3 linked regions of the Arabidopsis thaliana genome follow. The protein of the gene in region 3 interacts with the protein of the main gene of each other region in a pairwise test. Each region holds a gene or a part of one and is shown on either strand. Other genes may lie near its edges.

Region 1 (6,358 bases), on a different chromosome or scaffold from region 3:
TCCTGAAACCATGAGGGATATTCGTGGTTTTGCTGTCAAGTTTTACACCAGAGAGGTATAAGAAAAGATTCAAAGTTTCCATTTTTAATCGTCTTTTAGCTTCTTTAGAATCAGGACTGATTTTTGTCTTGTTACTGTTATGATCAGGGAAACTTTGATCTTGTTGGGAACAACACTCCGGTGTTCTTCATCCGTGATGGGATTCAGTTCCCGGATGTTGTCCACGCGTTGAAACCTAACCCGAAAACAAACATCCAAGAGTACTGGAGGATTCTGGACTACATGTCCCACTTGCCTGAGAGTTTGCTCACATGGTGCTGGATGTTTGATGATGTTGGTATTCCACAAGATTACAGGCACATGGAGGGTTTCGGTGTCCACACCTACACTCTTATTGCCAAATCTGGAAAAGTTCTCTTTGTGAAGTTCCACTGGAAACCAACTTGTGGGATCAAGAATCTGACTGATGAAGAGGCCAAGGTTGTTGGAGGAGCCAATCACAGCCACGCCACTAAGGATCTCCACGATGCCATTGCATCTGGCAACTACCCCGAGTGGAAACTTTTCATCCAGACCATGGATCCTGCAGATGAGGATAAGTTTGACTTTGACCCACTTGATGTGACCAAGATCTGGCCTGAGGATATTTTGCCTCTGCAACCGGTTGGTCGCTTGGTTCTGAACAGGACCATTGACAATTTCTTCAATGAAACTGAGCAGCTTGCGTTCAACCCGGGTCTTGTGGTTCCTGGAATCTACTACTCAGACGACAAGCTGCTCCAGTGTAGGATCTTTGCTTATGGTGACACTCAGAGACATCGCCTTGGACCGAATTATTTGCAGCTTCCAGTCAATGCTCCCAAATGTGCTCACCACAACAATCACCATGAAGGTTTTATGAACTTCATGCACAGAGATGAGGAGGTACGTCTTAGTACACCACTTGAGCTACCATTGTTAGTCTTTTTACTTGGAATCAAAATTCTCATTTGGTTTGTACTTTTTACAGATCAATTACTACCCCTCAAAGTTTGATCCTGTCCGCTGCGCTGAGAAAGTTCCCACCCCTACAAACTCCTACACTGGAATTCGAACAAAGGTCCGATTCCTGCCATGCCTTCTCTAAATCTTCAAATCCTAAACTCAAGTTTATTAGAATATTGGTGCTAAGAAAACCTTTTAATTGCTAATGTTGCAGTGCGTCATCAAGAAAGAGAACAACTTCAAACAGGCTGGAGACAGGTACAGATCATGGGCACCAGACAGGCAAGACAGGTTTGTTAAGAGATGGGTGGAGATTCTATCGGAGCCACGTCTCACCCACGAGATCCGCGGCATCTGGATCTCTTACTGGTCTCAGGTCAGAACAAAAAAACACTCGGTCAAATTTCTACGTCCTTTTTACCAAGTTTCAGCAAACTAAAACATTATTTATCTCTCTGTATCTCTCAGGCTGATCGATCCTTGGGACAGAAACTTGCAAGCCGTCTGAACGTGAGGCCAAGCATCTAGAGGCCAATCTCCATATAAGCTCAGTCTATGTGAGGTACAATCAATCTCATCGATCTATCATCGCTTGGTCGTTAAATCCGTCAAAAAGATAATCACATGTGTTGTTGTTTCTTGTCTATATAATAATAATGCTTGTAATCCCAAAAACTCATGTTTCCTTCCTTTCTACTCTCACTGTCTTTGTAATCTCTTTTTACAATAAATCAATGTTTCTTGAAGCAGTAAACAATTTCTAAGATTTATGGTGGTCGTTATACATATTATTAATTCAGGAAAAAAAAGAGAAGATACCGTAATTGAACATGTATTATTTTAAGGAGAATCCTGAAATGGATCAACAATTGTCTAATTATGGTATAGTATCTGGCGAAATCAAAGACGATATCATCCACACGTAATTAGTTTGACTATTAATACGAGGATTATCATTTGGATAAGGATTAACAAAGACAAAACACATACGTGTTTTGGTGTTGAGCTAAAATAAGATATTTTGGCTCTCGCTATAAAAAAAAAATCGACAACAGTGCAGACACACGCCGATTTGCGAGATACACACAGTCTCACCTAAAAATCGCAAAAGAAGAAAAATTCGGATCAAAATTGTCTTCAAGCATCATGGATCCATACAGGGTACATCGATTGATTCTCTTTTTTTGTAATCTGTGATTTTACCTTACTTGATTTCGTATCGATTTGGTGTGATTTCGTGTTGAATCCAAAGTGTATGAATGATCTCTCTCTCTCGGTTAAAATGATGCAAAATTGGGGTGATTGTTCGACTTGTTGAGGTTTTTTTGTGTGAATCGATTTCTTTATTATATAGTGGAGATTGGGTTTCGATTTGCATGCGTTGAAGATTCCACTGGAAAATTCAACATGTTTTTCCGTCTATTGATTGTTTATTTGTCAACATGCTCATGCTCATGCTCATGTTCTAATACACAAGTCTTAAGGCTGACGTGATCTGTCAATATCGTTGTACATGTTTTAAGGTTTCTTTACGATTTTTTTAAAGTTATTTTAATCACTGTGTTCAATTGTGAATATCATTGTTGCTTGTATCGTATTTTTTTAATTGATCATATATACTTATGTGGAATTGTTATGTATCAAGTATCAATGTATCATTATTTGTCATAGACGTTTCTCCAATCTATGGAAATTTGGTTAATTTTTTTGTGATCCAGTTCTTCTGAATTTATTTGTTGGTGTGCAGGTTCGTCCTTCAAGCGCTCATGATTCCCCTTTCTTCACTACAAACTCGGGTGCTCCTGTCTGGAACAACAACTCTTCTTTGACTGTCGGAACTCGAGGTCCGTTTCTCTTTCTTATCTCTTGAATACAAATTATAACAAATATGTTGAACCAGTGGTTGTTAGAAATGCCCTTAAAGCTAGAGTAGTGGAAGCCAAATAATTTTATAAACGTTTGGATAATAATGTCATTAGTGTTTTTGTTGTGGACTTGCGTAAATCACATTTCTTCCTTCAGTTTTATGCCAAATCTGATATAATTCCTCAATGTTGATTCTGTCTCAGTTGCTTGGATTTTTAGATATGTTAAGCGATGGTTTTATATATTGTCAGGTCCAATCCTTCTGGAGGACTATCATCTGCTTGAGAAACTCGCTAACTTTGACAGGGAGCGGATTCCTGAGAGGGTTGTTCATGCCAGGGGAGCCAGTGCTAAGGGTTTCTTTGAAGTCACTCATGACATTACCCAACTTACTTCTGCTGATTTTCTTCGAGGACCTGGTGTTCAGACTCCTGTTATCGTTCGTTTCTCAACTGTCATCCATGAGCGTGGCAGTCCCGAGACTCTCAGAGATCCCCGTGGTTTTGCTGTTAAGTTTTACACCAGAGAGGTTAGCTTTTTGTCTTATCCTTCCATTGTCTCTCTATTTTCTATAACCGATATCGATGTGTTTGCTGATATTCAAACGTTTATTTGCTTATCTATTTCGTTTCACCACCTATATGATTACTTGCAAATCATATCATACTATACTGATGATTCCTCTTACCCTCTGTTTGCAAACTCAGGGGAACTTTGATCTTGTTGGGAACAACTTCCCTGTATTCTTCGTCCGTGATGGAATGAAATTCCCTGACATGGTCCATGCATTGAAACCGAATCCCAAGTCTCACATTCAGGAGAACTGGAGGATACTGGACTTCTTCTCCCACCACCCAGAGAGTTTGCACATGTTTTCATTTCTCTTTGATGATCTCGGTATCCCACAGGACTACAGGCACATGGAAGGCGCTGGGGTCAACACTTACATGCTAATCAACAAAGCTGGAAAAGCTCACTATGTGAAATTCCACTGGAAGCCGACTTGTGGGATCAAATGCCTGTCGGATGAGGAAGCTATCAGAGTTGGAGGAGCCAATCACAGCCATGCCACCAAAGATCTCTATGACTCGATCGCAGCCGGGAACTATCCGCAGTGGAATCTCTTCGTTCAGGTGATGGATCCTGCCCATGAAGACAAATTTGACTTCGATCCGCTTGATGTCACAAAGATCTGGCCTGAAGATATCTTGCCTTTACAACCTGTTGGTCGCTTGGTCTTGAACAAAAACATCGACAACTTCTTTAATGAGAACGAACAGATTGCATTCTGTCCTGCTCTTGTGGTTCCAGGCATCCACTATTCAGATGATAAGCTACTCCAGACCCGGATCTTCTCCTACGCTGATAGTCAGAGACACCGTCTTGGACCAAACTATCTGCAACTACCTGTTAATGCCCCTAAATGTGCTCACCACAACAATCACCATGATGGTTTTATGAACTTCATGCACAGGGATGAGGAGGTAATCTTATCTCTCGGCTCTAGAAACTCCCAGATACTTAAATTCGCAATCACATTTATATGAAGTGAATTTGTTGCTTTCCAATTCCAGGTCAATTACTTCCCTTCAAGGTTGGATCCAGTTCGCCATGCCGAAAAATACCCTACAACTCCTATTGTCTGCTCTGGAAATCGTGAGAAGGTCAGAGTCCTCTACATACATTAATTTTTGATCACAAGTTTTATCCTCATAAGTCATAGTTAAAACTCAAATGTCATCTTTATATCACAGTGCTTCATCGGGAAGGAGAACAACTTCAAGCAACCAGGGGAGAGATACCGGTCCTGGGATTCAGACAGGTAAACACTAAAAACTCAAAAACCACATTGCAAAATCAACAATTACACATGAACCACAAATGTCATAATTCATTCTAATGGTCTTTTGTTTTGTACCAATAGGCAAGAACGATTCGTGAAGCGTTTTGTTGAAGCGCTTTCGGAGCCTCGTGTCACGCACGAAATCCGCAGCATTTGGATCTCTTACTGGTCTCAGGCAGACAAATCTCTGGGACAGAAACTAGCAACTCGTCTTAACGTGAGGCCAAACTTCTGAATGATATCATCTCTAAAGACTAAGTGAAATCCTATAAACTCAATATGCTCCTCTTACGGTTTGGTTTCTAAGTAATCTCGTTTATTGACAATGAAACGCTTAAAGAAGGGTACTAGTTCCTGTTTGTAATCTTCTTTTCAAAATATTAACGATTATTTTCTAAGGCAAATAAATAAAAAGCTATGACTAATATAGCTTAGTAAACAAGTATCACTATCATCCATTTGGTTCTACTTTAAAAATGGATTTTTATTTGTATTTTAATCTTCTGCATCTATGACGTGAGCTTATAGTTGGAATTTTATTGGGGTCTAATGTCAGACGCACGATCTTGATAAAAAAGTTTTATGTCTGTCCATATTTTGATAAATTGGCATAGTCATCACTCATCACGTCAGACCTTTTAATTGGTCAATCGTTATGATGCTACATCGCATTCATAATTTATAATTTACATGTAAGTGGGGGTGGAGTATTTGATTATTCCGCTGCTAGTGGAAATGCAAAAAGAATAATGAGAGCAGACCAATTTTAATTATGCTTATACTTTGTTGCGCTTAACTTTTAATCAGCTAATACAGTCTGATTAATCTGATGTCTCTCAGCCAGTAGTTTCTTTTCTTAAAGAGAACCTCAGCGCAAATCAGAAATTAGACACATGGAGCCACATCAAACTTAATCACCAATAATATCCTTTTCTCATGTATTTTTCAGTCTCATATTTTTTTTTACAACTTGTTAAGTGGTAGTGTGCGAAGATTTTAGATCGAAGTTACGCATCTTAAGAGATTATTTATCCAATGAAATGGTATAGTGAACTGTGTTTGCTAATGGTCCAGGATTTTATACATTTAAAATTCATAACTTTGCAGTTTAACGAAAAACAATAACAAATTTAACGTGTTTTGGTTGTCGTTAACAAGATCTCGGATCCATTTAGGAAAAGTCAATATCTTGATGACGAAATCAAGAAGACTTTACTTTGATTGCATGTGACGGAACTTAAGCACTATACTAAACGATAAAATGTAATTATGTAAATATCTAAGTTTTGAGGTGTATAATGCAAGAGTATAATTTCGTGGACCTACGTCTAGGTCTACCAACAAATGTACTCAACATAAATAATATCGTCTCCGTACCCCAAAAATAAGGTATATAGGTTTTATACCTAACCAAGACGTGCAAAAATTATCACAATTATTTGACGTGGAAGTTAATGATTCGGCCAACCTTATACTAATTTTGTTTTGCAATTAAGGACTCATTTTTTGTGTATTATATTAAGGGATCTCTATTATCAATGTCCAACTATTAATCATTTTTTATACGTTTCAAAGCCCTATGAAAAGAGATTCTATTTGCCCGGATCATAATTTAAAATTGTGTAATCAGAATCTTCTTTTGTATTTGCAAAGTTTAAAAATTCA
Region 2 (5,970 bases), about 11 Mb from region 3:
GCTTAATTATTCTTAAAATATCTTAATATTATTTACACTAAAGAAAACATAGAACATACTCCTTTCTATTCATTGTTTTTAGGCTATATTGTACCTTCATATTTCATTTTTGAACTTTTCAGTTCAGAAAATAGTACATACAATAACTTTGAAAAGATTCAATATTAATGCTGTCTTAGATTAGCACTTTTTAAAAGTATGTATAAAACAAGTAATCGATCATCCTTAAGTTTGGTGTTCCCTAATATTCATATTTTAGCTGGTTGCAAACACCAGCTATATTCGTTTATGGATTTTGGTCTAATTATTATTAAAAAAACAAAAATTAACCATAAGGTGAGTTTGTTTTGTGTATCCTTCTTATTTTTAACCAAGAAGGAACTTACATCAAGATTAGTTGAAATTTTCAAAAAGACGACACGTGCTGAGAAAAATATGTTCTTGATCCTTGACATTGGAAATGGAAGTAGTAGCTAGCTACTTAATCGTTGTATATCTTTAAGAGTTGGGCTAGACCAGATAATTCAGCCCATTTTGATGTATTAGCGACAATTCTTTTGATAGCATTTTTGGGCTAAGTCTATTCGTAATGGGTTTCAATCATCTCATTGTTTCTTCAGCACATTTTTGAGCCTGCTTATTTTTTTTCAGAACGTATGGAACAAGATCACATGTTTAATTATGTATGGTCGACATGTTTCAATCCGTTGGCTTTAAGGTCTTAATAACGTACGATACATTAGTTTTGTTTTGTTGCATGTAACCTGTGTGGTTGTACTTGTACGTTCACTACTTGTTGGTTTCTTTATAACCAATAGAATTCGGCAATTCAGTACCATGTATATGTTTTTCTTAACCGACCATATATTCCATAATTCACATGCCATCTCTTAAAAGAAATACAAGCACTCATAGCCATAGGTGGTGGATGAAGAAATATGTGTGTTAAAAATTTCTTCTATTGTCCAAAATCAACAGCTTGATCAGATGAACTTCTGAGCGAGCCAGAGGGTTCCAAGGTGGGCCATTGGGAACTTGATAAATCTCATCTCGTCACATCTCCCAAGGGGCAAAACAAAAACTTAAGAAATAATCAATTCAAAAGGCATATTCTTCCCGCTTGGGGCGTTCACACTATCTCATCACACGTGGAATCCAACAAAGCAGCCACGTCACCCAAGACCATACTAAACCACTTAAAAAGGTTTTGCTAAAAGGCCAAAAAAACCGGATAAGGAACCACAGCCCAATGACGTCCTCATTTATTTTATTTTCATTGAATTGCCTAATATTTATTTCTTTTGTCGTCCTTCTTCCTTGCTTTTGTTACCATATAAAAAAAACTTTTTTTTTAAGTACAGAATATATATATGACAATATCGCAATCGTGGGTTCAGCTTATCTTAAGTTCTCGGGAACCTAAATTCGGATCGCATTGACGATGTTGATCTATCAAACCACAGCCAGTTAGTTTATAAGGTTCAAAATTAATCGTTTATCAAAAACTACATGTAAGTTGGCTTTGTTCAACGAATTTTTAGAAAAACGTAAAACGATATAATTTGGCAGGACCAAATAAAAACCAATGCCATGGATTTCATCTTCTATTACATCATAGAATAGATTCAATTCTGTAAGGGTTGACTTTGTTTTAATCATTATTCTACATTCTCTAATAATAATAGATTTTGTTAAACTTGTTAATGTGATGTAAATCAAAAGTACAGTTATTTGCTATGAGTGTCTGAGATTAAAAGATAGTCGCACTAATTCATTTAGATTAGTTTATAATCCAATTAACAAAATAAAAATGAGCGAATAAAACAAATTAAAACTACTTTTTCTGAATTTGAATAAATAGTAGGTAACCGGTGGTTGGATTAAGAAAAATATATATGAAACAATTCGTGGTACTGTGATCATAAATAATACTTGACGTTCCTGAATTTCTCGCCACAATATATAACATTTGTTTTTTTCTTTCCAGTATTTATCACATGAAAAAACTAAAATAAAGAAAAAACGATAACCTTTAAAAATTCCCCCCTCAAAATAAAGAAAAAAATAAAAAGCTAAAAAGGCAGTAATACACACGCCATTTATAAATAAGGCAAGTGAATATAAAATAGTGCCTCATCATCATCAGTACCATCTCCTCGTTTTGATAAAAATCTCTGAATCTCTCCAAGCTCTCTTCTCATCAAACCATGGATCCTTACAAGGTAAACCCTTCTTTCTTTTCTCTCTAACCTTTTCGTCTTTTGTAATTTCTCCGTATAAACTGGATTGAAACGTTGTTATTAGCTTATGGAATTGCACCCAAAGTTTTGACCTTTTTTTCTACTCGAATCTGCAAATATACAATTAAGTCTTTCCATTGCTCTAAGATCATGTGCCTTTTGACTTGTGATTCTTTCGAATCATTGTGGTTTTTCTCTGATGTTAATTTTAATTTCCTTTGCAATTGATGATGATGATGCAGTATCGTCCAGCTAGTTCTTACAACTCTCCCTTCTTCACCACCAACTCTGGTGCTCCTGTATGGAACAACAACTCCTCCATGACCGTTGGACCCAGAGGTACCTCTTCTTCTCCCATGAATAAGTCTGTTCTCCTCAATGTTATTGTTGCATTTCTGATTGTTTTTTTGGGCAGGTCCTATCCTTCTTGAGGATTACCATCTCGTTGAGAAGCTTGCCAATTTCGACAGGGAACGGATTCCAGAGCGTGTGGTTCATGCCAGAGGAGCCAGTGCTAAAGGTTTCTTTGAGGTCACTCATGATATCTCTAACCTCACTTGTGCTGACTTTCTCCGAGCTCCCGGTGTTCAGACTCCTGTCATTGTCCGGTTCTCCACCGTTATCCATGAGCGTGGAAGTCCCGAGACCTTGAGAGACCCTCGTGGTTTTGCAGTCAAGTTCTACACCAGAGAGGTCAGTTAGTAGTTTGTAACATTTAAGAATGCTAGCAATTACTTATATACTAAGCAAATGATCATTCTTTGTATGCAGGGGAACTTTGATCTTGTTGGAAACAACTTTCCTGTTTTCTTCATCCGCGATGGGATGAAGTTCCCTGACATGGTCCACGCTCTTAAGCCGAACCCAAAATCTCACATCCAAGAGAACTGGAGAATCCTTGACTTCTTCTCCCACCACCCTGAAAGTTTGAACATGTTCACTTTCCTCTTCGATGATATCGGTATCCCACAAGATTACAGGCACATGGATGGTTCAGGTGTCAATACATACATGTTGATCAACAAAGCTGGCAAAGCTCACTACGTGAAGTTCCATTGGAAACCAACTTGTGGAGTCAAGTCTCTTTTGGAAGAAGATGCAATTCGTGTTGGAGGAACCAACCACAGTCATGCGACTCAAGACTTGTATGACTCTATAGCTGCTGGAAACTACCCTGAATGGAAGCTCTTTATCCAAATCATTGATCCTGCTGATGAAGACAAGTTCGACTTTGACCCGCTCGATGTGACCAAGACCTGGCCTGAGGATATCTTGCCTCTTCAACCTGTTGGACGTATGGTGTTGAACAAGAACATTGACAACTTCTTTGCAGAGAATGAGCAACTTGCTTTCTGTCCTGCAATTATTGTCCCAGGGATACATTACTCAGATGATAAGCTGCTTCAAACCCGTGTCTTCTCCTATGCCGATACTCAGAGACACCGTCTTGGACCAAACTACCTTCAGCTGCCAGTCAATGCTCCAAAATGTGCTCACCACAACAACCACCATGAGGGATTCATGAATTTCATGCACAGGGACGAGGAGGTACTTAATAGTACACTATCAATATCTTTATATCGAACTTGAAGCTAGAATACCATAGTCTTACAAGAAGCTGTTGTTACAGGTTAACTACTTCCCGTCGAGGTATGACCAGGTTCGTCATGCTGAGAAGTATCCAACTCCGCCTGCTGTCTGTTCTGGAAAACGTGAGAGGGTCAGTAATCAACTCTGTTTTCCTCTCTGTTTCTGTTTCCCATGGATTGGTTCACTTAAGAACATATGATCTAAAAGTTTCGAAATCTGTTTTTTTTTCAGTGCATTATTGAGAAAGAGAACAACTTCAAGGAGCCTGGAGAGAGATACCGTACCTTTACACCAGAGAGGTACTAATTGTTTTATTTTTGTAATGATGCTTAATGCATAAAAGGAACATCTGTGTTCTTAACGTTTTACGGTATGTTTTCAACTTCAGGCAAGAACGATTCATCCAGAGATGGATTGATGCCCTATCCGACCCACGCATCACGCATGAAATCCGCAGTATCTGGATCTCTTACTGGTCTCAGGTCTGAAATCTTGATCTCTGTTACTGTCATTGTCTCGTTCTTCAAGTCTCAGCAGTTGAAAAGTTGTCAAGTTTTAAACATTTTTGACTGATTGGTTAAAAATGTGTGAAACAGGCTGATAAGTCTTTGGGACAGAAGCTGGCAAGCCGTCTGAACGTGAGACCAAGCATCTAAAACGAGTGAAAGAATTCTTGATTGGCCTTTCTGTGGTTGTTAATTAGCAGAGAAAAGAAAATGGGAAGAGATCAAAGTTGCGATAATACAATCTTCATCATGTGGATCTTCTGTGCTATGTTATAATAGTATCTGTTTAAAGACCAAAAGAACCTTGTGTGTTGTTGTGTCTCTCGTTTATCAGAATAATACATTATACATTGAAGATTTATAATCCGTGGTGTTACTTGATGAAAGCTCCTTCTTCCTTGAAAGATTGTGACATATTCTTATATATTTCTCATATATTAACGAATGTAATCCCGTAAGAGCTGTCGACAAAGACGTGATTTTTAGTCTGCATGTTCTGGACGAAAGGGAATAGCAAAGTATGAAACGAAAAAGACAAGAAAATCCATAAATTCTTATGTGTGGGTATTAGGGAATTTACAATAGTTGTCAATATGTGTTGTAACAGTGGCCACATTTGTGTATAACGTCGTTGTATCAAGTGTGGGGTGTCGAGAGTCTTTAGATTTGGTGTGAATAATCTGACAATTTGGATTTGAACTCTGCTTTGACATCCTGACATTAGAAAATAAACTTGGTTTTGACATTTTGGGGTTTGTATTTGTGACAAGTACTGTTCAAATGATATAAACAAGAATGACTTTTTAGTTAAAATTTGATAATATTACAAAGTATGGTTACATGCAGTTGATCGATAATTCAGAACCAAAACCAAACTTCTCTTAAAAATAAGGAAAATAAAAAGAATCACCAAATGGTTTTCTCCGAGAGGAGTTTCTGAAGCAAGATTACGAGATTTTGTTCGTACAGGTGACAATAATACGAGTGATATGGACCCAAAAAAACCTCTCTTTCTTCTATAAGAACTACAAAGATTTCAACTTGTCTCATTTACCTGAAGAAGCTTTTACTTTCTCAGTAGAGGCTAAAACCAAAGAAAGGGCTGATGACAATTCCCAATCCAAGACCAATAGCCACAAGTGACGAAACCCAAGTTAGTTTCTCTGTGATCCTTGGAACTTTCTCTTTCAAAGCCTCACTGCAAGACCCAATAAACGCTGTGTAACTTCCCATCGCTATAACTGTCCCAACCAGAAACATTATCAAAAACGCAGACCCTGCTAACCGTGATGGGAGAGCTAATGCAGGCAAAACAATCATCAGAGCATCCGGTTGCAACCCGTGAACCACTCCAGTTGCAAATGTAGCAAACCCGATCTTCTTCTTTTTGGGCAGTGGTAAGGCTTCTTTCTCTGTTGATACCATGCTGATGTCGGTTTCTAAAGCGACACAAGGTTCTGGAATCTCAGAAGCTTCCTTGATTCCCATAGCACCGATAATAACAAGAGTCAATCCCACAATTCTTGTACCCCAAGTTTGTAATACTTCAATGTGAAGCCGGTCTTTAAGTAGCAGAAACAGTAAACCAAAGATGACTTGACCAGCATCATGCCCACATCCCCAGAGAGCTCCAA
Region 3 (3,540 bases):
TCTTTGGAAACAAACTTGGCTTTGATTGTTGACAGTGGCTGGGTTTGAACTGTTACAGGCAGCTACAATAAGCGGTCAAAATAGATGATTGAAACAGACGGGTTGGAGTTGAACCTGACCGTTGGATTCTTTTCTTCTCTAAAGTTTGAAGAACCAAAATTGTAAAATTTAGTTATTTAAATTTAGCTTGCCAATGTTCATCAGTAAGCTTGAAATTCAGTAGACAAATACTCAAAACTTTTCTTATCACTCTCTCCTAGTATGCCCCCTTCAAGTTGGTGTCAGCCTCAAACTTGGACAATGGCTTACTAGACAACTTAAGCTTGCCACTTTGTCGAACGTCGCAGTTTTCGAGAGCATCTAAGAGATTGACAACATTATGTGTTCATGAAACACAAGGTTACAAGAAGTATGATCTTGTGTTTACTAAATAGGTTTGATCTAACCATTGGTAAGAGTCAATTTTGGTTCAGTATCTGCAATAACTGATATATTTTATATCACCAGTTGGTAGCTGTTGTATTCATATGTAGCAAGCAAGCAAAGTAGAGAAGGATAATCAAACTCAACTTAAATATAGAAGTCTTGTTCAAAAGACAAGCAATGTCGAAAACACACTACTGAAAAAGCAACAGATCATCAAGTTTCATAGACCCAAGGGTGAACGCTGCTCTGCCAGTTGACAGGTCCATCAGGGAACCACAAAGCAATCTCCTTTCTTGCACTCTCGACAGAGTCACTACCATGGATCACGTTCCTGCCAATGTCAATAGCAAAGTCCCCACGGATAGTTCCAGGCTCAGAAGCTGCTGGGTTGGTAGCTCCAATGATCTTTCTTCCGGTCAAGACAACATTCTTTCCTTCCCAGATCATAGCAACAACAGGGCCGGATACAATGTAGTCAACGAGTCCACTGAAGAAAGACTTTGAAGATAAGTCTTCGTAGTGCTTCTCAGCAAAAGATCTCTCTACACTGATCAACTTCAGACCTGTATAAAATACAAATCTACACTGATCAGAAACACAAGACTAACACTCTTATCTACCAAATTACATAATACAAAAGGTCCAGATAATAACAAGTTCTTATGCACAGATACTATAATCTAAAATCTATTAGACAACACAGAATACTTGTCAAGTCAAACAAGTTTTACTAAACTATTAGTGTTCAGAAACTAGACCAAACCATAAGCAACTATAGTGTCATTACAATCTCAATTCAAGTAACAAAGTGACTTTAATTAGATCTAAGACCTCTAATTATAATGTAAAATCAAGTTTGGTAATCGAAATCATTACCTTTCAAAGTGAAACCCTTCTTCTCAAACCTGCAGATGACTTCACCGATCTGAAAGAAAAAAACACAAACATATCGATCTTTTAAGTATAAACAATCCAAAGAACTGAATACAAAACCAAAATCAGATCAAGATCAACAAGTATGTATTAAGAGAAAAGGGAAGCTTACGAGTCCTCTCTGGACGCCGTCAGGCTTGATCATAATAAAAGTTTGCTCCATTGTTTTCTTATTACTTGTGATTCGTAGGAGGCAAAAAAGATTTATATAGAGTCCGCACATGTAACCCTAATTCTGTTGAAGAATATTCTAACCCTAGAATATTTGCTACAAATTATTGGGCTTCCCTTATTATTATGTTAGGCCCAATTAAATAAAATATTGGGCTTCATAAAAAAAACACAAATAATATTTTTTTGCAACTTAATTATTTATGTCAAACAAACGTAGATTAATACTGTGATATTAAAAGTCGTTCGCAATATAACTCTTGCACGTGTATAGATTTTGCAAATCATATAAATCTGTACATGATTATTAAAATTACGTCGTTTTGAGCCTTCTTTTAACAAAAAAAACGGCTTTTACTTATTATTATTTTAAGGTTCAATTAGTTATAAAAATTGGATTTTGTGCCAAAAAATTCTCTAAGTAATTTTTTTTGTAACTCAATCATGTAAGTTAAATAAATGCAGGTCTGCGATCTCAAAAGTCACCTATAGTATATCTCTTAGACGTGTATAGATTTTGCAAACCGTATGTTTATATATAGGTTATTAAAACTACGTTGTTTTGAGCCTTTAAACAAAAACGCAAAATAATGTTGGAAAATAGATTTGAACGCATGGCATATTGAACTATTCAAAGATTACTTAACCAATTGAGCAGAGTGATTTTGTTAACTTTACAAACCGATTAATATATATAGTTTAAACATGAATCGAATACAACAATAACATTATTTCAGAATTGTAAACATAAAACTTGACAAACAGCGCGAGCGGTTACGATCGGATCAAACCCAAGTCTGAACACGCTCAATTCTTCCACCCACGCCTCGTCTCAGAGCTTTCCTCGATGAAGAATAGATTAATTGCGATGAGAATGAGCCCTTGCTTGCTCTACAAATTGTTGATGATGGCCAAAGATAATGAAATCAGTGGTGATAAACAAACTAGTTCACGTGAATAGAGATTTCGGATTGCTAATAAACCTAATTTCCTAAGAAGATGAAGAAACCCAGAATGCAATGTTCACAATATATATTTATCGGTATGCAATATCAACAATAAATCTTGCAGCACAATTGGTTAAGTGCATTATTTAGTATTATAGGTTATTGGTTCCAATCCACTCTAGTAATGTATTATTTTCCGAAAAGATGCTCAAACGACGTAGTTTAATAACTTATATACATACTTATACGGTTTGCAAAATCTAAGCACGCCCAAAGATTATATAAAATCTATGCACGTGGTTATACTGTGGGTGACTTTTGATATCAGAGTATTGACCTACATGTATTTAATATGAAAGGTTATGTTGCAAAAAAAAATATTTTTGAGGGTTGTTGGCACAAAACCCTAATATATTTGTTAGATTTGGATTAAAAGAGTTTGATCACACCACTTTGATGCATTCTCTCATGTTGAAGATATACACAACACATTTTCTAAACAAAAATTGTAGTTTTAAGGATTTTATTTTTTATAATATATATATCAAGTATATGAATTGATATAGAAACTATATATAAGTACATAAATTATTCGATGTAGCCAATTACTTCAAAAATTGATAAAATGATCTCAAACACATTTTTTAATAGAGCAAAGTTCTCTTTCTCCATCTCTTGCTACTCAATCATTTTGTTGTATCTACTTTATCATCTATTCGCATAAATTTGTACATAACCACTTGTTCTTAAAGATTATTTCTCATCACATTCGAAAACACTGTCGCTAACACATCTTGCCTAACTCTTTTAGACCTTCAAATATGTATTAAAGAAAGAAAGACAAGTTTTCTACATGATGAAAGTTTGCTCCATTTTTTTTGCTTGCTTATGACCCATGGGAGGCAAAATGAGTTATATATAGTCTCCACAAATTTTTAACTCTAATTATACCGAAGAACATTGTAGAGCTAGAATATTCGCTGCATTTTTAGTGTTATTGAGTCTTCACTTATTATTATTTTAAGGCCCAATTCGATAAAATATTTGTTAGATGTGGGTTAGA

What was found. Proteins that work in one complex are often made in the same cells at the same time.
Region 1: the proteins of NDPK1 (region 3) and CAT1 interact in a two-hybrid assay, tested with the Arabidopsis thaliana proteins (one study listed by BioGRID).
Region 2: the proteins of NDPK1 (region 3) and CAT2 interact in a two-hybrid assay, tested with the Arabidopsis thaliana proteins (one study listed by BioGRID).

The regions. Positions count from the first base shown.
Region 1 is NC_003070.9:7,144,682-7,151,039, forward strand, and holds CAT1 (catalase 1), read left to right. Parts: upstream 1-1,954; 5' UTR 1,955-2,130; coding exon 2,131-2,145; intron 2,146-2,731; coding exon 2,732-2,828; intron 2,829-3,101; coding exon 3,102-3,379; intron 3,380-3,557; coding exon 3,558-4,334; intron 4,335-4,424; coding exon 4,425-4,514; intron 4,515-4,604; coding exon 4,605-4,672; intron 4,673-4,774; coding exon 4,775-4,928; 3' UTR 4,929-5,499; downstream 5,500-6,358. Other genes in the region: CAT3 (catalase 3), read left to right, coding at 1-55, 148-924, 1,010-1,099, 1,199-1,360, 1,453-1,512. UniProt on the Arabidopsis thaliana protein: Occurs in almost all aerobically respiring organisms and serves to protect cells from the toxic effects of hydrogen peroxide.
Region 2 is NC_003075.7:16,699,453-16,705,422, reverse strand, and holds CAT2 (catalase 2), read left to right. Parts: upstream 1-1,918; 5' UTR 1,919-2,207; coding exon 2,208-2,222; exon of another isoform or gene 2,223-2,467; coding exon of another isoform or gene 2,468-2,482; coding exon 2,483-2,579; intron 2,580-2,655; coding exon 2,656-2,933; intron 2,934-3,011; coding exon 3,012-3,788; intron 3,789-3,870; coding exon 3,871-3,960; intron 3,961-4,061; coding exon 4,062-4,129; intron 4,130-4,218; coding exon 4,219-4,312; coding exon of another isoform or gene 4,313-4,318; exon of another isoform or gene 4,319-4,426; coding exon 4,427-4,486; 3' UTR 4,487-5,111; downstream 5,112-5,970. Other genes in the region: AT4G35080 (high-affinity nickel-transport family protein), read right to left, coding at 5,411-5,970. UniProt on the Arabidopsis thaliana protein: Catalyzes the degradation of hydrogen peroxide (H(2)O(2)) generated by peroxisomal oxidases to water and oxygen, thereby protecting cells from the toxic effects of hydrogen peroxide.
Region 3 is NC_003075.7:5,921,466-5,925,005, reverse strand, and holds NDPK1 (nucleoside diphosphate kinase), read right to left. Parts: upstream 1,523-3,540; coding exon 1,472-1,522; intron 1,352-1,471; coding exon 1,303-1,351; intron 990-1,302; coding exon 640-989; downstream 1-639. UniProt on the Arabidopsis thaliana protein: Major role in the synthesis of nucleoside triphosphates other than ATP. The ATP gamma phosphate is transferred to the NDP beta phosphate via a ping-pong mechanism, using a phosphorylated active-site intermediate.